4 linked regions of the Diceros bicornis minor genome follow. The protein of the gene in region 2 purifies or fractionates together with the protein of the main gene of each other region. This does not show direct contact. Links are inferred from orthologs where the notes say so. Each region holds a gene or a part of one and is shown on either strand. Other genes may lie near its edges. The genes, in order: CCT8, TUBG1, BAG2 and TIMM13.

Evidence for each region.
Region 1: the proteins of TUBG1 (region 2) and CCT8 purify together in Homo sapiens (affinity purification with mass spectrometry; 3 studies listed by BioGRID and IntAct, with this or other methods). This does not show direct contact. The link is inferred for Diceros bicornis minor from reciprocal best matches to the Homo sapiens genes TUBG1 and CCT8.
Region 3: the proteins of TUBG1 (region 2) and BAG2 purify together in Homo sapiens (affinity purification with mass spectrometry; 3 studies listed by BioGRID and IntAct, with this or other methods). This does not show direct contact. The link is inferred for Diceros bicornis minor from reciprocal best matches to the Homo sapiens genes TUBG1 and BAG2.
Region 4: the proteins of TUBG1 (region 2) and TIMM13 purify together in Homo sapiens (affinity purification with mass spectrometry; 3 studies listed by BioGRID and IntAct, with this or other methods). This does not show direct contact. The link is inferred for Diceros bicornis minor from reciprocal best matches to the Homo sapiens genes TUBG1 and TIMM13.

The regions. Positions count from the first base shown.
Region 1 is NC_080766.1:29,950,547-29,957,961, reverse strand, and holds the start of CCT8 (T-complex protein 1 subunit theta), read left to right. Parts: upstream 1-4,409; 5' UTR 4,410-4,455; coding exon 4,456-4,515; intron 4,516-6,986; coding exon 6,987-7,077; intron 7,078-7,415. UniProt on the Homo sapiens protein: Component of the chaperonin-containing T-complex (TRiC), a molecular chaperone complex that assists the folding of actin, tubulin and other proteins upon ATP hydrolysis.
Region 2 is NC_080757.1:41,682,206-41,689,222, reverse strand, and holds the start of TUBG1 (tubulin gamma-1 chain), read right to left. Parts: upstream 3,012-7,017; 5' UTR 2,958-3,011; coding exon 2,909-2,957; intron 2,582-2,908; coding exon 2,469-2,581; intron 2,287-2,468; coding exon 2,119-2,286; intron 1,281-2,118; coding exon 1,212-1,280; intron 941-1,211; coding exon 861-940; intron 425-860; coding exon 298-424; intron 88-297; coding exon 1-87. Other genes in the region: RETREG3 (reticulophagy regulator 3), read left to right, coding at 3,336-3,574. UniProt on the Homo sapiens protein: Tubulin is the major constituent of microtubules, protein filaments consisting of alpha- and beta-tubulin heterodimers. Gamma-tubulin is a key component of the gamma-tubulin ring complex (gTuRC) which mediates microtubule nucleation.
Region 3 is NC_080753.1:10,219,851-10,227,447, reverse strand, and holds the start of BAG2 (BAG family molecular chaperone regulator 2), read left to right. Parts: upstream 1-4,585; 5' UTR 4,586-4,655; coding exon 4,656-4,768; intron 4,769-7,597. UniProt on the Homo sapiens protein: Co-chaperone for HSP70 and HSC70 chaperone proteins. Acts as a nucleotide-exchange factor (NEF) promoting the release of ADP from the HSP70 and HSC70 proteins thereby triggering client/substrate protein release.
Region 4 is NW_026691553.1:1,706,406-1,711,808, reverse strand, and holds TIMM13 (mitochondrial import inner membrane translocase subunit Tim13), read left to right. Parts: upstream 1-3,879; 5' UTR 3,880-3,925; coding exon 3,926-4,045; intron 4,046-4,133; coding exon 4,134-4,202; intron 4,203-4,436; coding exon 4,437-4,535; 3' UTR 4,536-4,894; downstream 4,895-5,403. Other genes in the region: LMNB2 (lamin-B2), read left to right, coding at 184-225; TMPRSS9 (transmembrane protease serine 9), read right to left, coding at 5,340-5,403. UniProt on the Homo sapiens protein: Mitochondrial intermembrane chaperone that participates in the import and insertion of some multi-pass transmembrane proteins into the mitochondrial inner membrane.

The sequences.
Region 1 (7,415 bases), on a different chromosome or scaffold from region 2:
ACAGGAGATTCAATCATCTAGAGAGGATCCTCTTTGTCCCTAGAAAAAGTGTCAGGAATGACAACTGAAACCATCTATACCCACACAGCTTGCTGTCTACATTAGCATGACTTTGCTATTCCAGTGTCTTCATCAACATAACTTTATTCTAGGAAACACTGGCCCAGGAAGATAAAAGTTGCAAATAACTGTATTGCTCATTCCAGAAGCATCCTGAAAGATCCATCAACTGTTCAATAGAAAGCATCAAACGACAGTTTACACCTCAAGACTCTTTGAACCCATTGCCTCAAAATCCTTACCTTGCTATGCCCATCAATCGTATGTCATGATCGTTACTCAAACTTCCCAAGCTCCTACATTGAAAGACCTTCCTTAACTGGACTTCAAAAACTCATAAATATCCTAACTTTGCACACACACACACCCCCCAACTGAGATGCTACTAAGAATCTGACAAAGTAGTGCTCTCCCTGATTGCAGTAGAATAAACTCAGCTTTGTCTCATCAACATATTATCTTGGTGATATTTTAGGAAGCCAATATTCTATAGGTGTCAGGAAATAACAGAGGATAACCAAAGGGTGTGAGATCTCTTGCAACATGTGGCTGGAAAGGTGTTACTTCAGAAGAGTGGGCAGGAAGGGTAAGCATCCAAATGGTGGAATGGCAAGATAGGCCTCACTGAGAACAAGGAATCGTCACTAGAGTGAGCCCTCTGAGGATAGCCACAAGGAGAAACAGTGCCAAGGCACTGTAGGGGAACGGCTCTGCCAAGGTGCCATGGCAACTTTGCATGTTTCTACACACACCAAGCAGGCAGAGGCTTGCCCCGAGCTAATCTGAGTCTTGGCAGAATGCCTTGTGATCCTCCTGGAACACAAGAGGATAGGAGGCCTGTGAAGAGCTTCTCCCAGGCAATTTCTCTCTTACCTCCCTATGCCCCTTAGGAAGTTGTCATAGGAAGATGATGAGGCAGTTTCTCATCATCTCCAGTGTTCTGATGGGCTGTGGATCATCCTGCCCCAGCCCCCTGCAGTAGAGATGGGTAGAATATATAACTGATCAGCTACAGTCCAGAGTTAACTCCTCAGCAACTGGATACCCCACCACTTGCATTACAATCTCTTAGTTCCTCTTAGTTCAGTGTCATTCTTTTGATGTGCGGGACAATGACCTCAAGGAGCTGGGACCTTTGGCTAATCTTCCTCTCACTGTCAATGTAAGTAATAAACTGATTCTAAAAGTGGCTCCCTGTATCTTCACCAGCCAAATCAGTCAGGAGTTGGCCTTGACGTTGCCCAGTCTCACGTGTTCTTGACAGAAACTACATGAAGTTTTGGGATCAACATGGCAGTCTGAGGCCCAGTCTAACTCCCAACCTCACTCTCACCCCATAGATAAAAGGCTAGGAATGGGAGGTTTCCAGGGAAATTAAGACACAAAAATAACAATTACATTGGGAGACAGTACTTCTTTATACTCTTTTGGTTTTCCCCAATCCTCCTGGCTTCCCGCTTCACTCCTTACCCCTCCATTGGAGGGAGTTATCTGGTTTAATGGGTGACTGACACGGGGCCACCTTTCTTTCTGGACTTCAAAAATTATTATATGGAGTTAACCCTTTAAAAGTCTCTCTTCTTCTTTTCTGCTCCTCCACTCCAATTCAGTGTAAAGCAGCAATCACGGACAAGAATGTCTACACTTTCACACTAAGCCATATCCTCCAAAGTCCAGTGATACGTTGAATCCCAGCTGCCTGACTCGGATTTCACTTCGGTAATTGTTTCCAAACTCTGAGAGGGAATGGGGGTTTCCTTAAGCCCAAAGAAATTTGATTAAAACAGAAAAAAAAATTTTAATTTATAAAGGAAAATTAAGAGATTTTCACAAAAAAAAGAAATTGAAGTGAAATAATAAGCCAAGACAAAATGAGTCATAAAATCCAAAGCCAAAGGGAAAGAATTAAATTTTGATGGAAAAATAGTGAAAACTAAGATGATATAGTAACATGAAATAAATAATACAAATGCAGGGGAGGGAGAAAAGTCAGAAGAGAAAATATTTGATGGGAGTTGGTAAAATTAAATAAGAATACCAAAAAAATTAAAACACATATACAAGGCAAAAATATTAAAATAATTCTGAAGTACAGAGGTTAAAATTTTAGGCAAACAAAAGATAGAGAGAAAAATAGAAACAAAGTCACAGGAAACAAATGGTAACCTGAGTCCTTATCAGGGTCCTGAGTTGGCTTAGACATCTCCAGACCAAGAGTGTAGTTCCTCCTGAATGGGGAGCTGAGGGGGCAGACACTCCCAATCTTCGAGGCCTTAGCTCTCTCCTGGGTGCTGGAGGCCATGTTTTCAGTTGGCACCTAACATGAGGGCCCTGGGCTCTTGAATCAAAATAGCCGAAACCTACAGTCTCCTTGGGCTTCTGCAAACTCCTAGGCAACCCTTTTGATTGCTTTGTGACGTTCTCTGGTTTTACAGCACGTACATCTGGATGAGACAAATAGAGACCACACCTCGTGATTCTTTGGTCTCCTCTTCTAGATACCCATTTGGTCATCCATTCGTTCACTTGACAACTATTTATTGAGACTCTACTCCATGCCATGCCCAGTGATAGGTGCTGGCAATACAACACCTACCTACTGGTTGAGAAAGATATAAATAATTCTGTCATTACAACTGCAATAAGTGCTATGAAGGAGAAGCACAGAAGTTATGAGAATGACTAACAAGGAATGACTTGGGAGTCACTGAAGACTTTCTAAGGAAAAAGTTTATGTTGACTGAAGCAGATATAACTCAACCAAAAGGCGGTGAAAGCACACTCTAGGTAGAGAAAAGAGTAGAGGTGAAGCCCCTGATGCAGAGGCGGTAAAAGACAGGATGAACTATTCAGGCTATTGTGACCAGAAGACAGGAAGATACATGTGAGCTACCCAGGCACCAAAACCTAGGCCTTGAAGCCACATTCAGGATTATTGTTTCTTTTCTTTTCTGGGTGAGGAATATTTGACCAACTATTTGGATCCAGCGGAAATTTTGCTCTTGATGTTTTGATTCTATAATTATGAATGCACAGTTTAACCCAAATAATACAAAATTAACGAATTTTCATCTAAAAAACATTCTTCTTAGCAATTAAATCAATTTAATTTCTTGACAAATTATCATACAGAAGATTTTAATTGATTTCAATCCTTTCCTTTTCCTTTTTACTAAAATTAATGTAGGATCAATTTTTTATCACGAACTTTCCATGGAAATTTGATTCATCAATTGGTTTGTCCTCAAGTTTAATTTTCCATGGTCCTTATCAAGATTTGATTCCTTAGTTATTTTTAATTAATTAAATTTTATCAAGCGTCATTTTTAGCCCCTTTCAGTTTTATGGCACACTAAATCTGTCCCAATTTAAAGAAAATAAGTAATTTGCACTTGTCCAAGTCAAAGAACAAAAGTCAAGCCAAAACGTTCTGCTTTGGGTTTTCTGCATTTTCTGCAAGAAAAGTGGATTATTTTCATAATGTGAAATTACCCTTAAAAGTACTCTATTAGCATTCAGTCTTTTTGAAATCAGCCACGTGTTGACATGCGAAGACATATAGATCAGGTTTTAAAAGATCTGGGGAGAGTAAAAGGGATTTATATTTCCAGGAAAAAGCAGGAAAGAGGAATATACACAGTGACTAAGAACGTGCATTTTGCAGTCATTCTGATCTTGCTAGGAATCCTTGCTTTAACATTACTAGCGCTGTGATCCTGGACAAATTACCATTTGTAAACCTCAGTTTCCGCTTCTATCAAATGGAGATAATAGTAGTTAACTCGGAAGGCTGACCATTAGCTTAGGTCTTGCACGTAAAGCAAATAACACAGAGCCTGGCACATATGAGAACTCAGCATGTAGTTATCCTTACGGATTTTAAGTATTACCGTCCCGTCCCCAGCGCTTCCTACAGAGCCCCAGACAGACCAGACGCCCAGCCACAGATTTTTCCGGACGAGGGCAGACGCCCTGTCTCGGGAAAAAAGTGAACACCTGCCCCGATGTTGTGAGTGGGCTTGGAAAATAACTTGGAAATTAAATTTAGGAGGGAGGCGTGGCTTCTAGGTCAGAAATGGCAAAAACGTAACGTCGCGGCCACGGAGCCTCAACGGCTGACACTCTCGGCAACCAGCCACAATGGCCTGTGCCGCCTGCGCTTGCGTCGGCCCGATCGATCGACCTGATCGAGGATCGTCAACCCAGTCCTGGCTGCGGGAACTGCTCTTTCTCGCGAGGTTTCAGACCAGGAGGCTGAGGGAAAGGGCGGGCCCAGCTGAAGAGAGAGGCGGAGCGTGAGGCCGCGGCACGCTGCGTTCCCAGCAGGCCGTGCGTGCCCCTCGCTTCCTCCCGGATCCTCCGAGCGAGCGCGTGAGGGGCTCCTGCGTACTGGCCATGGCGCTTCACGTCCCCAAGGCCCCGGGCTTTGCCCAGATGCTCAAGGAAGGAGCGAAGGTGAGGAATGGAGGAAGGGAGGGGGAGGTGGCTGCCGCGAGAGAGCAGGGCCTACTAAAGGGCCGAGCGTGCTCCCCCGGCGCAGAGATCGGAGGAAGAGAAGGTTCCAGAAAGGGAGGTGTTCTCGGGAGGGCTCGGCCCCCGAGGCCTGCGGGCGTTTCCGTTCTTGTGCGACCCCGGGGGGAATCGAGGAGGCAGAGGCCGCGGGTGAGGGGCAAGGCCCCGGGATTCGCGTTTTGCACTGACTAGCTGGGGAAGCGTGAAGCCGCTTGTGCGTTTTCCCTCCATCCGTGAAACGGAACTGATGAGGCTCTCCTCCCTTAAAGGGTGTTGTGAGGGTGAAGGTGGATAACGGAGGTGAAATTGCTTTGGGAGCCGCGGGGCCGGTTGACACGCAGTTCGAGGATGGGGCGATCCGAGAGGAGAGGAACAAGGGCCAGGTCTTGGCAGCTTCCTTCCAAATGAGAAACAGAGGGGCTCCCTATTTAGTTCGCAGAAGTAGTGCGTTGTAGTAGGACAGACACTTACAACCCAAATGAGTTTTGGTCTCAATTTAAGGTTAAGTAGCTTGTAAGACTTACCCCCCAGGGTCTTACTTTCCTCATCTTTAAATTGAGATTGGACAAAAAGGTGGTACCTTTAAGTTGTACCTGTCCATCTGACCTGTGTAACCCATGGGTAAGTGACACCCTGGTCTAAGTAAGTAAAACTGCTTTGTTTTATGGCCAGATCTCGAACGTAATTTCAAGAGCGCGATTTTTAACAACCCCTTAAGTTTTAGGGAACCAGGTTTTTGTTGGCAGGATGCACTTTGGGATAACAGTATACTAAATAAATATCAGGGTTTAATGTAAATGTTGGTGGAACAAGTTTGCTGAAAGGGACATCGGTTGCTCACTTTTTTAAAAAGTCAGGCTGAGAACTCTTCGTAGTTTTTATTCTTCTGAGGCAGAAATAATAAATGAACAGATAAACAAGGATGATTTCAAATAATGATAAAGGAAACAAACAGTACTGTAGTAGAGAATGACAAGAAATAAGAAAGTCTGCCTCCAAAAAAAAGGTAAGGGTTTAGGGTAGATAAAACAATTAAATAAGATGTTCAGGGAAGAGTTCTTAGCTCAGTTTCTGGGTGACAGAAGGAACCAGCCAAGATTAAAGGGAGAAGTGTTCCGGGCTGAGGGACCAGTAAGTACAAAGACCCTGAAAATGGAATGAGTTTGACCTTTTTAAAGAAAACAGTGAGAAAGGTGATGGGCCTGAAGCTCACCAAGGGAGGGCAAGAATGGTAAGAAAAGAATATAGAGAAGCTGTAGGCAGTGGCCAAACATGTAGGGCCTTGTAACCCTGAGGCAGGATTTACATTTTATCCTGGGAGGGATGGTAAACTTCTGAAGAAGGGTTTGATGGGATCTAGTTGATGACCTGAGGGCTGCTCCTCAGGGGTGGGGGATGTAGGAGTGTAAGCCAGGGGATCACACTGAGTGCTCTTGTAAGAGTCCAACTCTTGTCGCTGAAGACACTGCTTCTAAAGTGGTTATTAACCTTGTTTGGATCACAGTCCCTTTAATGTATGTTATAAAAGCCGTGCCTTATACTCTAGAACAGTACTGTCTGATAGAACTTTCTGTGATGATGGAAATGTTGTGTATCTGTGCTGACCAATATGGTATCCACTAGCCACATGTAGCTACTGGGCACTTGAACTGTGGCTAGTGCAATTGAGGAACTGAATTTTTAATTTTAATTACTTGAAATTTGAATAGCCACGTGTGGCCAGTGGCTACTGTATTGGGCAAAGCAGCTCTAGAAAAACGTTCACATGAACACTAGGTTCATGAAACCTATCTAAGGCCACAAATAAATCCCAGCTCTAAAAAAAGCTCAGTGTAAAATTTGAGAATTTTAGTACTATGAGCGATTCAGCAGTTTTTCAATATGTACACGTTGGAATTGTTGCAGTTCAAAAGCCTGTATACTTTAGTCCCTAAATATTTTGGAGACAGATAGGTTAAGTGGGAATTCCCAATGAACATAGAACTGCTGGCTTTACAGTGCTCAGGCTCTAACACAATAAGAAAAATATTCATGCCACATTTCAAGTTTTAGTCAGAAAGTACTGGTAAACTCTGAAAAGGTATTTTTACCTGAAATAGCTCATATGCTTTCTCTAATCAGTCTTAGCACTCTTCCCTGCACTTTTCACTACATCAAAAAAAATTATAGGCGCTGCATTTTGATGTGTAAGTGGGTACCTGTGGTTCCTAAAAATGTCATGCTTTGTTCATTCAACTATTGAGCAAATTTATGGATCATTTATGAATACCAAGCACCATGCTTTACGTACATAACTCTTGCTTGATCGAGTCAACAATCCTGTGAGGGTAGGTACTATTATTATTACTCCCATTTTACAGATGAATAAATTCTTGTTTTCACTGTCCTGTCTAATCAGAAGTTTCCTTTTACAGCATTTTTCAGGACTAGAAGAGGCTGTGTACAGGAACATACAGGCTTGCAAGGAGCTTGCCCAGACAACTCGTACAGCATATGGACCAAATGGTAATTTATAAATTCATGTTTTAAAAGATACAGTAATAGAATTTTGTGTACTAGCTCTTTCAAACTTGTTCTGAGGGTATTATATATAAAGTGACAGTTTTAGCCATAATACAGTGTGGCTTTGAAAGTTATTTCATAGTTCAGTGACACTAGTATAGGGTTTCCAGTTTTTAATTGGCAACTCAGATCTCTTTAGAAAAATAGGAATCAAAATGTTACTTTTTATGCTGTTAAGAGGATAGAAAAATTATGGTGCTTTCATTATTGAGATAGTGCTTAATGTTCAGTGTGACAAATGGTGAACGGTTCTTTTACATAAAGTGACATTATAATTTAAG
Region 2 (7,017 bases):
CAGCTGGTTGATCTGGGAGAAGGAGGGGTTCTGGATGTGCAGGCGGTCTGTGGCGATCCGGTTCAGGGCTGTGTTGTCCAGCACCACCTCGGGGGACAGAAGAGGGTGACAGATTTATGGAGACAGAAAGAACAGCAGCTCTGCCTGAGCCTGGGTTCTGAAGCTTAATTTCCCTTGAGCCTCACAGCCAGAAAGACCCATCCAAAAGGGACTTGCACAGGACTGGGGCCCAAGAGGGCTGAAAGTGTTGAAAGAGACAGGGGGTGGGGGTGGGGAATGGTAGAATCCAGGACTCACCACACAGTCTGCGTTCTGGGTCAGCCTCTTGAGTGTGAGCAGCGAGTTGTAGGGCTGGACCACCACGTCGCTCATCTCGTCCTGGTTGGGAAACACTGAGTACGTCTGCACCAGCTTCTTGGGGTACCTAGTGGGGGTTGGGAGAAAAGGGTCAGGGCAACAGACTGGTGGCTTGGTGAACACGGGGCTCCCAGCAACTGTCTGGAAGCAGCTGATTTTGGATGGGGAAACTGGTATGGGGCCCCGGGGAGCAGTAGAGAAGGGAGACCTGACTTTTGGAAGTCTGTAACCCCAAAGGGGGAAGGGCAGAAAGACATCTTAGGATCTAGAGTTCCAACACCAAACCCCATACTCCCTGAACCTTCATCTCTTCATCTAGGGCCCAGATTCGAGGCTCCAGTTTCAACCCCTGGGAGTGTGATCGGGTTCTCAGTCACTCTATCTTGACTTTCCTCACTACAGAAGGGCCCTTTCCTGCTCCAGTGAATAGCAAGGTGTATCTGGAGGGCCTCCAAGTTACTTGGGAAACCAAGTCCTCCTAGCCCCTCAAAACACAGACTTACCTGTCATTCAGCCGTTCTAAGAGGTAGGAGCCCAGGCCAGAGCCTGTCCCCCCAGCGATGGAGTGACACAGCACGAAGCCCTACATGGGGAAGGGGCAGTCAGTGTCTAGGTATCTAGTGTCAGGATTTCAAACTGGACCCATCCCATAATTTCTTGGACTCCTATCTTGCCAAGTTCTCTCCTCCACTTCCCTCCCAACATATACAGCTGGGGAGACTCTGCCTTGTTTCCAGCAAGGCTTCTGTCCAGTGCAAAGCATACATGGGTGGGTCTTATTCCTAAAAGTGGCTTCTAAAGGGTGTTGCTGAGGCTTCCCTATGTCGGCTCCCACTACCATTCCTGAGACACACCTCCAGACTGTCACTGCCATCTGCCTCCCGGTCTATGATGTCAAAAATGTCCTCGTGGATCTTCTCTCCCTGTACAGATATGGGGAAGGTCAGAGCAAGACAGGACCATGGGACAAAGATTCTGACTCTCGATTCTCCTTATAGCACCTAAAAGTCTTTTTTTAGAGCACAGTGGCCCTGCTTTTTATTTGCATTGAGAAGCAGTATAGCACAGTGGTTATGGGCAGGCACTCTACATCCAGAAGGCCTGGGTTCATGTTTAGCCGAGGTGACTCTGAGCACGTTGTGATCTCTCTATACCTCAGTTCCCTCATCTGTATATGAAGGTAATAATACAGGTCCACTCTAAAATCCTTAAGGCCAGTTATGTTTCAGAATTCAAATTTTTCAGACTCTATAAAGGTAACATGGTACATATAATGTATGTTAAGTAAAATGCCAGTGGGAGTCTGAGGTGTGCTAATCAAATACATTAATATTTCTGTGATGAAAGGTATGAGAAATGACAGTAAATTGGATAGAAACTATAAAATAGCCTGTCTCCATTGAGATTGGGTTTTGTTGCTAAATGAGTTATAAATTGTCTTTTGGTTTCAGAGTTTTTTGGATTCTGGAAAGGTAGATAAGAGACTGTGGACCTGTACTACCTACCTCTTGAGTTGCTGGGAGGTTTAAATAAGTTAATATACGTAAAGCTCTTAGTACGGCCTGGCACACAGCACTAGCTAGTGGAGTCTCTTAACAATTTTACATAGTTGACTTAGAAAACAGAACTCCCTTAAGCCATCTCTCTCTCCCTCCAGCACTCATACATCCTTGATCTGGTTTCATCTCTCTCTGGGAAGTCATAGGGCCTGTCCCAACACAGGAAGGGTGTTGTGGGTCCTGCCAGGGAATAGCGAATGACCTGGGAGAATCCGCTGGCCCAGTTGTTGCCAGCCCCTCCTCCATGCTCTGACAGGTAGATGTTCTCTGGGTTGTAGAGCTTGGCATAGGGGGAGTTGAGGATGGAGTGGATCACCCGGGGCTCCAGGTCCAGCAGCACGGCCCTGGGGATGTAGTGCTCATCGTCTGCCTGTCAAGGGGAGTCCAGGAGGGGGCCCAATCAGCTAAGGCCAAGGCCCCCGTCCTCCCAGCTCTGCCTCCTCCCTGCCCTCCCTCCTCAAGCCAGCCGCCCTGGCTTCTCTGCCCAGCAGGTTTCCCAGCACCAGGCCGCTGCCTTCCCTTTAGGACCCCTGGCCAAGTCGCTGGGGGCACCTGGTAGAAAAAGACGTCCTTGCGGTCAGTGCCCTCGGTGGCAAACTCCTCCACGATGCCTTCGGGGCTGATACCATGCTCGGCGCACAGCTGTTTCCAGAACTCGAACCCAACTGGGCGGGGTGGGGGAGAGATGGACGGGGGAGAAAGAGGATACCTGGGTCTGGGCAGGTTCCAACTAGGAGCTTGGGGACTGAGCGCCTGGGTATAGAGACAGGAAGTCAAGCCTCAGGAGTCTCCCGTGTCAGAGGAAAGGGCTGTATGCCAGGACCGGGCAGGGGAGGGCCCCTCGGGGTTGGGCAACTGGACACTGGGTCAGGCATGTCCTGCCTTTCGGAGAACTACGATTCTGGGAAGGGCAGATGGAGTCCAGGATCCCACAGCGAGATCCCATAGAATCTGAGGAACCTGGCTAGTGGAGGGGCCGGAGGTTTGCTCACTCTGATTGCCGCACTGGCCCAACTGTAGGGTGATGATTTCCCTCGGCATCGCTCCTCAGGCACCGGCGTTGCAGCCTCTCCCGCCAGCAAAGCCGCCGCTAGCCAGCCCGCTCGCCGCACGACGCAGGCGCCAAACAACTCGCCCCGCCCACGAACTTTCTCCGCTCCAATGAGAACTGAGTTCTGGCGATGGCACTTCCTTATTCATTTGGCTTCAGTCATGCAGACTGCGCTTGCGCGGCTCCTGATCGGGCTGGGCGCAGGGGCGTGCTTTGACGCAGTGTTCTCTGGATGGACTCTCGTTCGAGTGTGTGCGCAGGCGCGTTGTGAAGGGAAGCAGCCTCCCCCGCCGAATCGCGCATCTGCGCAGTTGGTGTTATTGTGACTGTGGGGCCGCGGCCCCGGATGTTGTGGCTGCCGGGGGGCGATGGCGGAGGCAGAGGGGGTGGACGCGGCCCCAGGCCCAAGTTTGGGCCCGACGTTCACGGGCCGCCGCGCTATGTCAGGCTCCTGGGAGCGGGACCAGCAGGTTGAGGCGGCGCAGCGGGCCCTGGTGGAGGTGCTGGGGCCTTACGAGCCTCTGCTGAGCCGGGTGCAGGCAGCCCTGGTGTGGGAGCGGCCCGCCAGGAGCGCCCTGTGGTGCCTGGGGCTGAACGCGGCTTTCTGGTGAGAGAACTGGACCCTTGGAAACCCTCCGAGGCGGGAATTCGTCAGGTTTCTCTAGGGCTCTACCTCTCGCCTCCTCTGTTTTCTTCGCTGCGCTGGCTCCTTCCTGTACCTGCCTAATTTTGCCCCATCTCCTTCCACTTCTTCCCGCCTGCAGGCTTCGGCACCGCAGTTCTCCCCAGGTCTTCAGTTGTCTTCTCCGCTTTACTGCTCCCGCACCCTCGCCCCGCACATCAGGCAAGAGCTTCTGGTTACGTCTTGAGCCGCTCGCAGTGCGCGAGGGCGCCTCATTTTAGCCAGGGAAAGCTGTGTGCCTTGAAGGCCATAGCCTCCCTTCTCTTGTCTGCTCAAATGTGGTGAGGACTGTCTCCAGATTGTAGTAGTTATTATTGGGGTACACGCGTCAGGCGGTAGGTCTTGAAAAGGTATCCGGAGGTGTGATAGGAAAACCAGCTTGAACGATCTGAATTCGCGCGTTAGATCTTTCTTTCTCCCACTCTAGGAGGTTTGTGAAGTCTGAGCGTCACTAAGCGCGTCCAAAGCTGCAACTTGGAAGAAAATTATAAGCTTTTGAAGAACAGTTAGGAAATAGTGATTGTGCGATTTCACCCGTTTCAAAGCCTCTATGATTGCAACTCCTCCATGTTGCAAGGAATTAGCGAGGCATCCAGCCGCAGTTTATAGGCAAGGAAATTGAGGGTGTCTAATAGTGTGTAAGTTTTCCTGAGCTGGAAAAGTGCGGCTATAAATATGCTTTCAGAATCTGGATGTGTCATGCTCTGTGAAGATGAACTCCTGCTTCTCTCAGTTGTCATTACCTGGAGTGGACTTAGGTCTTCATAGGATCTGCCAGGCATAGTTTGGATTTATTCATAATTAGGGAAGTATTATTGATCTAATTCCAAGGGAGCTGAAGTATAGGGAGCTTCTACAACTGGATGAAATAAGGCTATTCTGGATAAGCCTGAAACAGCACAAAGTATGAGTTCGCAAAAAAAAAAAAAATTGTTTTTTGCTAAAAATAGCTTTCCTCTTGAAATTCTTGGTTTTAAAATCAAAACGTTTATTATTCTTTGTCTGAAAGAAGATTTTTAGTGAGCTGGAGCAAACCCAATAATTCCAAGTTCATTGGCAGGAAGACACAATGTTTAGCTGTTAAATTAATCCTCTCACAGTTTGAAGGAGACTCAGGTGAAAGGTGTCACAGCCATCTCTGACTTCCATAGTCTTTAACAAACTTGACGATAAACTTTTTCTACAGCATTCTTCATTTATTTTTGGTATTGCTTCTTCTTTGATCCCCAGGTACCTACTTCCGGTCTGTTGCTTTCTGTCAGAAACCCTTAACTGTAGCACCTCGTTCAGGAGTGTTTTCCAGAATGACCTTTTCTTCCTTTCCTCCCACCTCCCCATCCCAACCCCTAACCCTGGACCATCCAGTCAAAACTTCCTTTCCTACATTGGGATTGTACTCCTAGGAAAAAAGTGGGTCCTGAATAAACCAGTTTGTATCAAGATGTGAGTGGCTGATATATAAAATTCTTTTAAATGAATCCTGATAAGCCAAAGTTTTATTAATGCAAATGGATCAGTAGCATGTATGTTGTTATTTTTGAGGAGGGGACTTTCCACATGCCCCTTGCCTGAGAGAGAGTTTTGAAGTGGAATGTGGGGTTGAGGTCTGCACACAAGGAGCAGCTCTGCATAAGACACATCTTTAAATGTTACAGTTAGCTTTAATTTGCTGGCCCCCAACAGTGTTTACTTAAGTTTACTAATATGCTATGTTTAGAATCTCACTCAGATCTCCTTTTCCTACTCTGGGTCTCTGGAAGCATTGTTGTGATTGATCTTTATCTCTGGGATTTTCTGGTAGCTTGCGTGCTGTGTATCCAGAGCACAGTTACTCTTGTTATGTTCCCATCACACTTGAAATAGGTGGGGAGAGATACAGCAAAATGAAGGGTGCATCTCTTGAGACTGAAAGAGCAACTGGGTATGCCATTTATGGAGAGGACTTACACCTGTGAAGGGCACAGAATGACTGGAAGTGTTAAGTAAGGCCCCAGAGGCTAGGGTGGTTTGGCGTTGGAGTTCATGGGATTGTTTGTTTTAGGAAATGGGCTTCTTTGGGAGGTAGTTTGAAGTTCAAAATGAAAGTTAGACTTCACATTCCAGTAGCATCATATTGAATATGGGTGTTGACATTTCGCTTAGGAATGTCAAAGAGTGACTGTTTTGTTCTCAGACATTTTAAATGTTTAGGAAACATAGAAGGATCATTGGCTCAGGTCTGAGAGAAATCAAATCTGAAATATTTTATTTTTCTTTCATTATTTGTTTTGAATAATGATAAATCATTAACTGAGGTGTTTTATATATTTTGAGGTATTAGAAGATTGGATAGGAGTACAAAAAAATCATCAGAATTCAGGTAGGTAGCTCTTAACTTTCCATGTTCTGTATTCTTAGTCAACTGTACCTGTGAATGTGCCCTCTTACATCTTAAAAAAACAACAACATAAAAGACAAAGATAGATGTAGATGCCTTGCCACTGTAGTATTTCAAGGTTTTCACTCTTTTTTTTCAGGTTCCAGAGGAATTATGGGTATCATATCAGAGTTCTTCCAACCTATGTTGCTTCTATTCACTGATATGTTCTTGTCTCTAGGATAATAACAGAAATGTCAGGCGTTTCTCTCCAATAGCTTATATTTTCATTAGCCTCAACACCACCTATAAATGAGTGATTTGGGGGAAGAACAGCTGAGTCAGTGAGAGTGTATCCTCACAGGATCAGAAACGAACAGGTTCAGGTAACTTTTTGGTTTGACTCATACCTAGGAGATAGGGGAGGACAAAGGAGCCCTGGAAATGTGTGTGAACCCCAAGCCCTTCTATGAAGCGCATATGGTTCAAGGAGGGCTAGATGACTGCAAAGCTCCTTTCCAGTTTTTAACATTCTGTGATTCTAGATGATCTTTAAATTATTCTCTGTTGGGATCTGCTTTTACAGTCGCTAGTCTGAGTTAACCATACTATATTCTAGGGGATGTTATGGAATCTGTTGTTTTCACAATTGGAAAAAATAAGGTGTTTCCCCTCCCATCTCCGCAAAAATCTCCCCAAATCAATAAAATGACCTGAGAAATGATTAAAGGTATATAAAAATTCTTATTTGAAAGTTTAGAATTTGAATGAAAATGAAAAAGGAACAGGAAAAGGAAGGGAGGGCCCATTTAAGTAGAGACTTAGTGTTCTGTGAAAAAAAATCTACACATCAAATTTCAGATGAAATCTATTGAGCACACGTCTCTGATCATTGTTCTTGTTGCTTTTGGTAGCCAAGAAGATTCCCAAGGATGCCTTGGCTTGCTTTTTTTTGCCTCTCTTTTGCCAACAGTTTTTTATCTGTCCTAATTGTAAGGTTGGGTGCTTTTTG
Region 3 (7,597 bases), on a different chromosome or scaffold from region 2:
ACTTGCAAGTTACTTAACACATTAAGCTCATTTATAATATAATTCAGTTTGAGATTATATCCAGATTCTCATTTTTAAAATACGCAAATTTTATGATGGAGAAACTGCCAAGTTATCCTAAGTTTCTCCAGTTTGTATTTCCTTTCCTTCTTGAAAAGACAGATGTAGTTGATGAGACTTACATAAAGCACATGTTAATTAGTTTTCTGCCCTAAATATTAAAATTCTCTGTTTTTTAATGCAGATGTGGAATTAGAAGAAGCTATTAGAAGAAGTCTTGAGGAAATGTAATTAAAGATATTACTGTACAACGTCAAGTGACCTTGAAGAGACTCAGGATAATGAATTCTTGAGTTTGTTTTCTAAAGGAGACCAGAAATCTACTAGTACAAATGTATTTGCAAACATGCTTTTTTGCTTTTACATGTTGAAAATATATTTGCTTTGTATTTTTGTGCTATTTTGCAAAAATGTACAGAGGAATAAAATACATGTTAATGCAAATATAAATCATGTATTCTGTGTCACAGTTTCCCAGTTAACATTGAATTCGTATATTTAGATTAAAAGAATTTAAAAAAAATAGAAAAGCTCTTGACTATTGTTTATATGTTTCCCGAATGGCAGTAGTTCTTTAATTTTGTTTGTACTGTACAGATGATTCTGTTTTATTTTTTTAGGAGTGAAAATGAATATAAATAAAGCTGTCATACCCCAGTTTTTCTGTCAATGCCACTTATCGTGGCACTAATAATATATAATATTTCTGAGATCTTTGTCTATGATGATTAGAAGAAAGTAATGGAAACTGATCATGAAACAGATTAAAAATTTTACCAGCAGAGTTCTTGGTGGATTTCACTCAGATGTATAGTCCTGCTTTAATTAGAGCAGCACATTGCTGGAATAAAAAAAAAAAAACAACAAAACCCTAACTTCTTTGAAATTATTAAAAAGAAACCTTTTCCATTCCTTTTACCTGCTTAGACTTTTATGTGACTTGTATTATCTACTGTTGAAAGAGAATCGTGAAAATATTTGCATAGAGTTAAACTTATTTTTAATAATGTTGGTCCTTTTTTATATATATTTGTGTAAATGTAATATTCTTCAAAAAATAATGTAGACAGTCTACTCAGGAGTAATCTTCCTTAACCCTTTACAATTTTTATTTCATATGGAAGTATCTTCACTTTAGTTATTCATTAAATTATCAGTTTCCTACATTTAGTGTTACATATGTAATTTTTAAAAGTTGAGGCCCCCATTGTGACTAATAAAAAATATCACATAATTAGAAGACTAAGAAGGGCTTGTCAAACTATTTTTGTGTATATGTTTCATGTTATTTGACCAGAAATGTCATCCCTAAAATTTTGAGTGGTAATTACTTACCAAACTTAAAATTTTCTATAAATATAAGTTTTTCTTTAAGACAAAAAAAATCATGGCTAGAATTTTGTTTTCTCTGCAACTAGATATTTTAGTGTGAAATAGCATTACTGTTTTTTTATTACTATAGTCTTTTTCAGTTCACATTAGAAACCATTTTGTGTTTTTATTTCTTAAGATGTCAGTTCTGTACTACCTGCTTGCATTTTTTTTAAGTAGACCTCACGCTTTGAGAATTTACCAGTCATTTTTCCGAAATGACCACATTGTACCTTTAATTTGTATGTTAAAGTGGTCAAGCAAGGCTTTAGGAGGTAGTCACTAAGCCAGACCTTCAAGACATCTGCAGAAGCTTCCTCAGCAGTGAGGAGCAGAAAGGACGTTCCAGAAAGAAGAGTGCTTAAGCAGATGTAGGGAAGAGGAAACAACACGTCTTTGCCAGAGGTGCCACACATAGGTGTGATGTACACTGACATTCTATTAAGCTTTTGTAGTGTAGAGAGTAACTGAAGCTTTTCATTTGACAGGAAAGGAATATTTCATCGTGACCTTTAAAAAAACGTAATTGGGTTGTTTACTGTTTTACTTAATAATTGTCACTGATTGTATTTCTACTTGTTAAGCAATTAAAAATCATTTTTAAATTACTTCATAATTTGAACTTAATTTAGACACAAGGGGGAGAGGTAATCAGAGGATATTACAGAAAGTTATATGGATTATTAAATTATCAAAGTAAATGTTTTGAACATTGACAAAGGTGCTTATCTTTTTGTTACTTCATTCATTCATTTATTTATTCATTCACTCACAAAGTATTTACTATTTACCATGTGCCAACGACTGTGTAAGCACTTGAGATATACCAGGCCCGTACTCCTCTATGGAGCATACACGTGGCGGGGGAGTGGGGTGTGTGTGCGTGCGGAGATAGAATGATAGAAAAGAAGCAAGTATATCTGATAGTGATAAGTGTAATGAAGGAAAATAGGGAAGGGAAAGATAAATAGTGCTATTTTTAATACGGTGGTCAGAAAGGATGACCAGGTGAACTTGAGCAAAGACCTAAAGAAGGTGAGGGGTGAGCCATACAAATATGTATGGGGAAGAGAATTCCAGGTAGAGGGTGAAAAGGTCTAGAAGTGAGCTTGATCTGTTCATGGAAAAGCAAGAAGGCTAGTATGCCTGAGCAGGATGAATTAGGAGGTTAACAGGAGAAGTCCTTGAGGACTTTCTGAGGACCTAGGTTGGCTTTTACTCTGAAATGAGGAGTCTGAAGGTTTCTGAGAATAAGTCGTGTGATCTGCCTTATCTAGGAGGATACTGTAGTCACTGTACTGAGAACATACATGAGAGGCAACAGTAGAAGCATTAAGACCAGATAGGAGGGTAGTGAAGTAAGCCAGGTGAGAATTGATGGGGGCTGGGACCGGAGTGGTGGCACTAGAATTGGAGAGAAGAATCTGGATGTAGTCTGAAGGTAGAGCTGACAGGATTTACTTATGGATTGGATCTAGGATATGAGAGACAGAGAGTCCAGGATGATTCCAAAATTACTTGATAGACTTTCAAACCATTGACAAAATGTCTTTGGATTCCGAGTTTGCTTCGTGATATGACAAAATATGTTTGATGAGGTCAAATAATCCCCTACACCAATAGTTTATTAGTATTTAGATTGAGTTCAGAGCTGTTGACAGAGGAAAAATTCACTGAATTCAAACAGCAGATATTTATTTGGGCAATTAGAATTGCAATTTAGGGAGCACAGATCCAGGTAGAAACCCAAATAGTGTCCCGATTACAGGAGAGGCACTTGGGTTTTATAGGGAAAAGGGAGGAAGATGAGGTAAGTTGTATTAAGGAACAATTTATTAGTGCTAGATGAGGTAAGGCTAGGTTTGTACTTCATAATTGGTTAGCCATTTGGTCATCAGCAAAGTCCAATTTCATCAGTCCCTACAAACGCGATATTCTTGTCCTTACTGACTTCTTGGAATGTTGGCAGTTTGGTCCAGTTTGGAAGCTAAAACAAGACTGCAAGGCAATTCCTCTGAAATGGCTGCTCTGGCTCTATTTTAATATGGCTCCACTCATGTCATCTTTCACAGAGGGAATCAGTATCCAGGCTTAAGGGCCTCATCTCTGTTCAAGCATATAAATAACTTGGATCTCAGATTAAAGGTTGTGATTCACCTTAAACCATTATTATGTATCATTTTATGTGCCTTGTACATGCTCATCCTCGCAGTATGAGGCATGTAGTTATAATGAGATGGGAGCAAAGCACAAGTTTTTAAGTAGATAATCTTTGTACTCCCAGCCGTTTTCCACTTCTGCTGACCTTTATGGTGTCTGACCTAGTGGCCTACTGCATCTTTTCATTCTTAACAGATTTAAATAAATTGGGTGTGAAATGGCCTTAATACCAATTATTTCACTCAAATGCCAACAGGAATAATTTCTTAATAGGAAAAGTCAAAAATCCCTTCAGCAGAATAGGTGGAAATAAGGGAAATTCACCTTGCTTCCTACTACATCCAGATAGAGCAAGATGGGGTAGTTTTTCCTTTTTTCCTCTATAAGCTTCAGTGGGGTGGTGTCCAGGTTTCATTCTTCTCATCTCAGGAATGTGACGAACAGGACAGGTCAGGCGAGTTTAGACCGCCTAGGAGCGGTCCTCAAATGCCACCTGTTCCACAAAGGGACCTCTTCTCCCCACATCACAGGACTTGAACGTTTCTGTCTGCTGTGAATTACTGGTGCCGGGAGAAACCGTGGGAAGGCGTCTCTGAGTAACACACCCACCCTAGCGTTGGCACCTTCGCGCGGGGGGAGCTGGTGGCATCAGAGGGCCGCGGCCTCACGGGGCAGGGATGGGGGGTGTTCCGTGGGTCTCCGCATCGGTTTGTTGTGCCAGGGCCGGAGAGAAGGATCCGGCGACACGCTGGGTCCTCCCCTTTGTGCGCCCGTCCCGCCAGGTGGCTCGGAGGCCCCCTGGCTTCGCTCCTCAGGCCCCGGGCCCTGGCGGCCCACCCCGAGCCCCCCTGGCCGGCGAGCTGCCCCGGCCCCGCGGCCGGCGCGCCTGCCCTTGTTTGGCCACGCGGCGGCGGCGGAGTCGGCGCGTCCTCGGGCCGCCCCCCGCGGGCGTCAGAGGGGCGGGCGCCCCGCGCGGTGACGGCGACGCCTGCGGCCGCCGAGCTCGCCACTCGCGCCGCCGGGGAGCCCGGTGACCTCTCGGCCGCCCCGCCTCGGAGGCTCAGATGGCTCAGGCGAAGATCAACGCGAAAGCCAACGAGGGGCGCTTCTGCCGCTCCTCCTCCATGGCCGACCGCTCCAGCCGCCTGCTGGAGAGCCTGGACCAGCTGGAGCTCAGGTGAGCGGCGGCCCGGGCCGCGCCCGGCGTGGGGGTCCCGGCGGCTGGGCGGCTTGACACGTGCTGTCGGTGGAGACGGGGCGCTCTGCGCGGCGCGGCTCGGCTCAGAGCGCGCTCGGTTTAAGCCACACCTGCGCGCGCGTTCCTGTGGCCACGCTCTCGGGCAGGACGTGAGCGTTTGGGGGCCGAGAACAATCAGAAGATGCAAGTTCTGGTGACGTTGGTTCGGATTAGGGACTGTGACACTCCAGGTCTCCAGAACTTCTAGAACCTTCTGTGTGCCGGTATATGGTCTTCCCAGATGTTTTTAACTTACTCTTTTCCTATTAGGCATTTTTAAGAGAGGCAGCAGCTTAGTGGTCCCTGATGTGAATGATCCGTTTCTTTGCTCCAGAACACTTAAGAGCAAAAATTAAAAATCCAGGAATCCATCTGATGGCAAGGATTAGAGAGGAGGAGGGCAAACGAGGGGCTGCGGGGGGACGGCAGCTGGGTGCTTTGTGGAAGGAAGACCCTGCAGCTTCCGTGTCGCCTAACCCCGCATGCGGTGCCCAGCCCTTCCGTTAGCCTCACGGTGGATTGTGCGCCTCCGTCCACAGGAGACTCTGTGCCGCCACCTTCTTGAAAGTGCCAGTCACTGGCCTGAAAGCACAAGATAGTCACAGGTCCCCCCCCCAACTCATTAAGATTTTATTAAGTAATTAATATAGTCGTAGGCTTGTATAGCATTTCTAAATAATGTATGATAAATTTTGGAAACACTGTTCCTTTTACAGGGTGTGGAAACTTTTATGTACTTTCTGTAAACATTTGTCACTAAAGTTGTGTAAATGTGTGCAGGTGTTGTTAAATGAAAATCTTATTAAGGCACCCACAATCCCCTGAAACTGCACAGAATTTTTTTCCATAGTTTTTACCGGCTTCTGGGTGAGCAAAGGAGTGTGTAAACCAACAATTTCAAAAAGCAATGCATATATGCCTTTATCCCCCTCAATTAGTGTACCAGAACAAGAAGAGGTGTCTATTTGCCAGGAAAGAGCATTAATAACCACAGTATATCTCAGCAAATGAGGCATTTATTATTATCATTACCCGGAGGAAAGAGTCAGAAAATGAGAAATTCTCCCTCCACAATGATTTCATGGATGGCAACAGATAGAGAAACCAGAGCCAAAACCACGTTCTGGGGTTCTGCTCAGAATGAGACACATGGAACAGCAGCAGAGAATTGCTTCCCCGTGGTTGAGCCTGCTGCATTCCACCCCCAGAAGAAGCAGGAGCAGAACTAGAGGTCCTGCCCTCAGCTGCTTAACTTCCCTCTGATAATATTTCCCTTTCTGTAGCAGCGTAAGAGGTAACTCACACGTCTCCCCCAGGGCACGTCTCCCCCAGGGCTTTACAACTTTGAGGGCATGTTCTCCACCAATTCAGGAGTCTCTCTCCTCTCAGCAGAAAAAAAGGATTTTTTTCTTAAAGGAATGAGGAGGATGTTGCCCCTCCTTCCTTCAAGCTGAGTCATTGTCCTCAAACTTGGATTAATTTCTCACATGTGGTAGGTACAAAAACAGTCAAGTGCTCACTCATCTTGAAAAGAAAGCCTCTGGTTTTGAGTATTTATTATAGTCTAGTGTTCGACTAATGTAAAATGAATTCTGATTATTGTGTACAAGTGATTAAATTATAATTTGCTTAACTAACCCTTGACCTGAGGAGTATCAACCTACAAAAACAAAACCCAGTTTACGAGGCAAAGCATTTATTTGGGATCGAAGAATTGCAATTCTGGTAGCACGGGTCCAGGTAGAAACCCAAATAGTGTCCTGATTACAGGAGAGGGGCTCAGGGCTTTTATGGGAAAAGGGAGGAGGACAGGTGCGTTGTATTAAGGAAGAGTTCACTGATGCTGGATGAGGGAAGGCTAGGATTGTACTTCAGAGGTTGGCTCGAGATTCGGTCATCAGGCAGAAGGCTAGACTTGTGCTTCGTTGATTGGTTAGTGATTCGGTCATTGGCAAAGTCCAGTTTCATCAGTCCCTACAAACGGGATATTCTGGTCCACACTGACTTCTTGCAATGTTGGCGGTGTGGTCCAGTTTGGAAGACGAAGAAAACAAGACCGGTGCCAGGCAATTTCTCTGAAATGGCTGCTCTGCCTCCATTTTAATATGGCTCCACTCACGTCGTCTTCCACATTAGGAAGGCCTGATCAATATGTGTCTAATTGGTCATTTTAAGGACTTTTCTAGTAATTTTAGACTTTTGTAAGCTTTGTTTCTTCCTTTAAAAAAAGTAATACTGACTGGAAACTAAGGAAGTGTTTCAGAAGGCAAGCAAAAATAGAGAAAAGGCTAATGCTGATCCATTCAAGTCTGTTTGAAACCACGGGGGCAGTGGTCCAGAGCGCTACACTGTTCAAGACTAGAGTCAGGCCTAGAACATCAGTATTTAAAAGAAAACATGATATTTGTCTGTAATTTTGCTCTAATAGTTTAACTTCATGTTACGGACGGCTGATCACGCCGCATACGGGGTAGAGTCAGCCGGTGCAGTTGGCACTTAGAGGCTTGCATTTACTGCTCCCCAGCCACACTAGTTTTGTCAGCTGTGGTGAAAACTTCTTCCATATGAAACTGAAAACAGAATTATGCTAAATGCTTTATGACCTGGCCTGTGAACTGGTGTACCTGATGTTTAAAATGCTTTAAAATGTTTGGCAGCATTCTACAGATCGTTAAAGAAATTCCATTTGTTTCTAAACTTGACGACACTAGCCTTTCTTTTTTGACTCCAACCCATCTCCCTTTTTGCTTCCTCCTAAAAAGGCGATCC
Region 4 (5,403 bases), on a different chromosome or scaffold from region 2:
ACGGTTGAGGCTGAAGCCGCTGGCCCTGTCATCTTGCCGGCAGCTAAGTTTCCTGAGGTGGCTCAGGCCCTGGGCCTGGTCCAGCCGGTGTCTGGCGGGGACAGGGGACCACCAGCTACCTGCCTAGCCAGGAGGGTGCGCCCCGCCTCCCCGCTCATTAACGGCTGCCGTCCTTCCTTCCAGGGGGACCCGAGGACCACCTCCCGAGGCTGCCGCGTGATGTGAACGAACACGCCTCATCCCACACCTTTCTTTACCCAGAGCCACTGAAAACTATTTTTATACCATTGGCGCTCTTTAGTCCTTGATACATTTCTAGAGAATTTTTAAGCAAACTGCCAGGCCGTCGGGGTGGGTCTCTGTCGATCTTTCCTGTGGGTTGGTTCCTCGGACCCTCCGCTCATCATCACTGTTCAGGAGAGTTTTTCTGGTGCCCCGTTTCACCATTTGGTTGAATTCCAGGCCCAGGAACCACATGGTTAGCAGAGTGGGCTTGGCGGCTGGAGGGTTGGGCTGACCTCTGGGGGCTGCCCACTGCCCCTGCCTCCACCACAGACCCCCCGGGGCTGGGGCGGGGAGGAGCTGCCCCTGGGGCCCTGAGGTGATGGAGAGCGGTGCTGCATAGGAATTCAATAGTAGTGGTTTGTTTTGTTTTTGTGTGAGGAAGATCAGCCCTGAGCTAACATCTGCCAATCATCCTCTTTTTGCTGAGGGAGACTGGCCCTGGGCTGACATCCGTGCCCATCTTCCTCCACTTTATATGGGACGCCGCCACAGCATGGCTTGACAAGCGGTGCTTCGGTGCGCGCCTGGGATCCGAACCGGCGAACCCTGGGCCGCCACAGCGGATCGTGCGCACTTAACCGCCTGCGCCACCCGGCCGGCCCCAGTAGTGGTTTGTTTTATTAAGCTTTTTTAAAACCAAATTCAGAATCCAGGTTCCGACCTGGTGGGGGGCAGGGGCGTACCCCCCTCGAGTTCTGGTGGCTCAACCAACCGGAAACGAGGTATTGGAGCGCTGAGGAATGGTGCGTTTGACCTCGACCCGGCCCTCCGGGGTGGGGGCAGTTCCCGCTGTGGCGGTGGGCAGCAGCGAGGTTTCTGCCCTCTTGGATCGGGGTGCTCTGGGCTGGGCCGCCTCCTGCCGTTTCTGGCTGCCTGACCCTTGCGTTTCTGGAGCTTTCTGTAGGTGAGGTCCTCACCCTGCGGGACCAGCGGGGCAGGAGAGAAGGAAGCCTAGGGGACGGGGACAGTTCCGTTCTAAGACTTGTCGCCAGGTAAATGGTGAGGGGACAAGTTTGATAACCTCAGAAGCAAGCGCCTCGGGGTTCAGAACCATGTCCACGTGTGCCAACCACTTCCCGCCCTCCTGGCAGGAGGAAGGTGACTTCACGGCAAGTCCCTGGGCCCCTCCCTGTTTCCCCACCCTGCCGTGTGCACGGGGCTGAGACTGGCCCCCGTTTCCCACGTAGATCCTCACGCGTTTGTTGACAGCCTAGCTTCTGTCTAACCTTGCTGATGTGCTGGCCCTGGGACACGCCCGTTGCCTCCTGCGGGCCGGCTCCACACCACGCAGCCGCCCTGGCCGCCGGCCACCCCTCCTGCGTTAGCCTCCCGTGTCCACCCTCCTGCTTAGATACACAGAAGTTATTTTTTTAATGGATATTTATTTTTTTACATTGGTCAGTACTCAGATTGCCAGGATCCCGCTCCAGGGGCTCATGCCAGGGTCACCAGGACAGTGCCCCGGGGTGGGCTGGCATCCAGGGGCCTGTCTCAGTGAGCTGAGCCCCCAGAGGGCAGACTCCTTCAGAAAGTGCAGCTCAAGTCTTACAGACGCAACCCTGAGCCATGAGGCGTGCTGCCTGGAAGGCGACGTGTACAGCGCAGCCGCACTGGCCCCTCGTGGGTCACGCTAGCCCTGGGCAGCACACTCGCCCCACCTGTACGTGTCTGGCTTTGCTTGGGAATTCCTAATGGCGAGGAGGGTTGGAGGCCGGGAAAGTGCCAGTGGCTGACAACACAAACACTGCTGCTGCTGCTGTATCTAGAACCTGCTAGAAGCCCCTTGCTTTCAGTCCGGATCTTTCTATGGTCTCCAGGCCATGGGCTGTGTTTTCTCTGTGGAGGGAAATGTGTCACCAAAACAACTCACGGAAAGTGCAGACACCCCCCATTTGTGGTGGCCTGCCCTGGCCATGCACCATCCTGCCCCGTGTGGGACCTCTCCTGGGAGTGCTTCCCAGGCCCCTGAGGCTGCAGGCTGCCTCCCCTTCCCGCCCTGGCTTAGTGGGAGCCCTGGCCTAGGGGGAGCCGTGTGGACAGTGTGTGGACGAGGCGCTGGGAGGGTGGGGCTTGCTGGCCCCCAGACACGCAGGAGTCTGCGCTGGTCTGGGCCACACTCCTCAGTGTATTTTGGGACTCTCTGGGGATCAAAGCTGTGTCCTGGAATTTGGGTCTGATTTGCTGTCTTTCCGGCTTGGTCCAGGGACAGGAAGGAAGGGAGCGGGCCCCACCCTCCCCACAGGCCCAGATGTCCCCCTAGTGCCTAGCAGAGCCCCTAGGCTCACAGATAGGGGCTGTTCTCCCCTTACCGCACCCCAGGTGGGCCTGGCTAAGGTCTTGGGTGGAAATGGGAGGTGGCCTGGGCAGCCACTGGGGTGCCCTTGGCTGTGGGGAGTAGGCTACACTGGACTGCGTGTGTGGCCAGGTGGTGACTGGAGGTTGGTGATTTGGTGGTGGTTGGTAATCAAGTATTTGGAAACATGGAGCAGAAGCCAATGTTAAAATGTCGCTGTGGCCTGGGAAACAGTTTGCACCAGCCCTGAAACATGCTTAGCTTTAAGCCACTTAAAATGATGCGGAAATGATTCTTTTGTCTGCGCCCCTATCATGTGACTCCAGGCAGCACCCTTCCTAGAGGAAAACCGGACTCCGGCTCAGCCCTGGCAAGGTGGGAGGCCTGCCTGTGGGCATGCAGGGATGGGGAGGCCGCCCCGGGCCTACACTAAGGGCTCTTCACCTGGACTTGCTCTCTCAGCTCCTTTGCTAACAACGAGGCCTCCGACTCGGGTGGTTGGCAGCGCACGTAGACCGGGAGTTCTATTTATAGTAGCACAGCCCAGACGAGACTGACATTCCTCAAGGAGGGCAAAGCCACTCGGAAGGTCTTAAGTCCGTGCCCCCAAGGGCATCTCGCTAGCGGAGTCGGGTCAACAGCTGCGCCGTCTGGACTTCATTTCAGAGATTGGTTGGTTTTTACGATGCATGCCAAACGTGTGGTCTTTATTTCTCCGATGATTTGTAATATACATTTTATGACTGGAAACCTTTTGTACAACACTCAATAAACATTTTGGTTTTAAGTTCTGCCTCTGAGTGTACTCTGACGCGGGGCTGCCGGAGCCCCTAATGAGGCGGGGGTCTAAGACCTACCCACCCACTGAGAGAAAAAAATCTCAGTGGCGAGTGTAGACAGACCCCACTCCTTAACTCCCTGGCGGTACCCGCCACCCGTGTTTTCTGCGTTCGTTTTCTACCGGCGCCGCGGACGCCGCGTTGTGCTTTTGGCCGCATGACACGCCGTGACTCTTCCCGGCTCCGCCCCGGGCAGAACGCGCAGTGTAGACGCGCCCTCTGCCCCTTGCGCATGCGCGGCAGGGCGAGCCGGGGGCGGAACCTGAACGCTCCCAGTCCCCGCTCAGCCTCTTCGCCCCTCGGGAAACAGGCTTCCGCCGGTAACAGCCGGCTCCCGCCCGCGCGGCCTTGTGGGAACTGTAGTCCCGGCCGTCTCTCCCCCCCCCCCCCGCCGGTCTCCGTCCTGGCACGGCTGGACTCCATTTCCCGTGGTGCCCCCGGGCGGCCGACTTCCGGCGCGGGTACGGGTCGGCGCACGCGGCCGCGGTCCGGTTGACTTTGCGGAGCCATGGAGGGCGGCTTCGGCTCGGACTTCGCGGGCTCCGGCGGCGGCAAGCTGGACCCGGGGCTCATCATGGAGCAGGTGAAGGTGCAGATCGCCGTGGCCAACGCGCAGGAGCTGCTGCAGGTCCGGGGCCAAGGCCGGGGGCGGTGGCCGGGGGCGGCGGGGGTCCGGTGGGGCGGCGTCGCGGCTGAGGGCTCGCGTGTCCCCACAGAGGATGACTGACAAGTGCTTCCGGAAGTGCATCGGGAAGCCGGGGGGCTCCCTGGACAATTCGGAGCAGGTGAGACCCGTGGGCAGGCGGGCGGGGGCCGTGGGCCGGTACCTTGGACCCTGGACCCGGCGGGGTGGCCTCTGCGCGTGCGCGGACTAGCGGCGTGGCCTCTGCGCGTGCGCGGACTAGCAGGGCGGCTTCTGCGCGTGCGCGGACTCGAGGGGCGGTGCGGAGGGAAGGCTCTGCGCGTGCGCAATCCGCTGCCCCGGGCCCGAGCTGAGCCGCGCTCCTTCCCGCCTGCAGAAGTGCATCGCCATGTGCATGGACCGCTACATGGACGCCTGGAACACCGTGTCCCGCGCCTACAACTCGCGGCTGCAGCGGGAGCGAGCCAACATGTGACCGGGCCGCCCACAGGCGCCCCCTCCCCGTCTGTTTTCATAAATGCCCTTTGCTGGGCGGGGCCAGCGTGTGCGGACTGCCTACCCGTGGTTTATGAGGTTTCCGAGGACGATACCCGTGCTGGGACGCTGGGGACTCTGCCCCCTCCGCCGCCCACCCCCACCTGCCAGCGCGCGCAGCTCGGGTCTCCGGGGGGCCTTGGGACTTCCCAAAGTGCTGGCACCGCTCCTAGTGTGCCCAGGTCAACCTCGTGCCCGCACACAGAATCCGTGTTGGGACCCGGGAGGGCGTGATCAGACCCCACCTGAGCTGTGACCTCCCGGGGCTGACAAATAAATTGCCGAGGGGGGCGGAGAGCACCCTGTGCGTCTTCCCTGCAGGGGTATCTTGGAAGACGGTGCCTCGGGCACCTGGGTCCCCCACCCCCATCTTTTCTCCCTGGTGCTCCTGGGTTCCTGGGTGGCGGGGAATGTGTTGACACCCAAGGGGCCTCAGAGATGAGGCTGACCTCGCCCAGCCCCAAAGGCCAGGGGAGTGGCCCTCCCCCTGCCACCCTTCGTCCCACTTCTGGGCCCCGGGCGATGGGCAGGCACATGGTCCTTGCTGCGACATGGAGCTGCGGAGCCAGCAGGTTGGGGATAAGGGCTGTGTTTATTGGAACAAAATATGCAGTAACACTGCATCGTGTTACACGCTGCTCCCCCACCCCTGTGACCACCTGGCCTCCCCTCCTCAGGCCAAGCGGCCAGCTGGCTCCTGCTGCCTTTACATCCCTCGTCCCAGGCCTGGGCAGCCACGTGGTGGTCACTCCTGGATGTTCTGCCCGATCCAGCCTCTCACGGCAGCCACCCGGGTGTAGACACCTGGG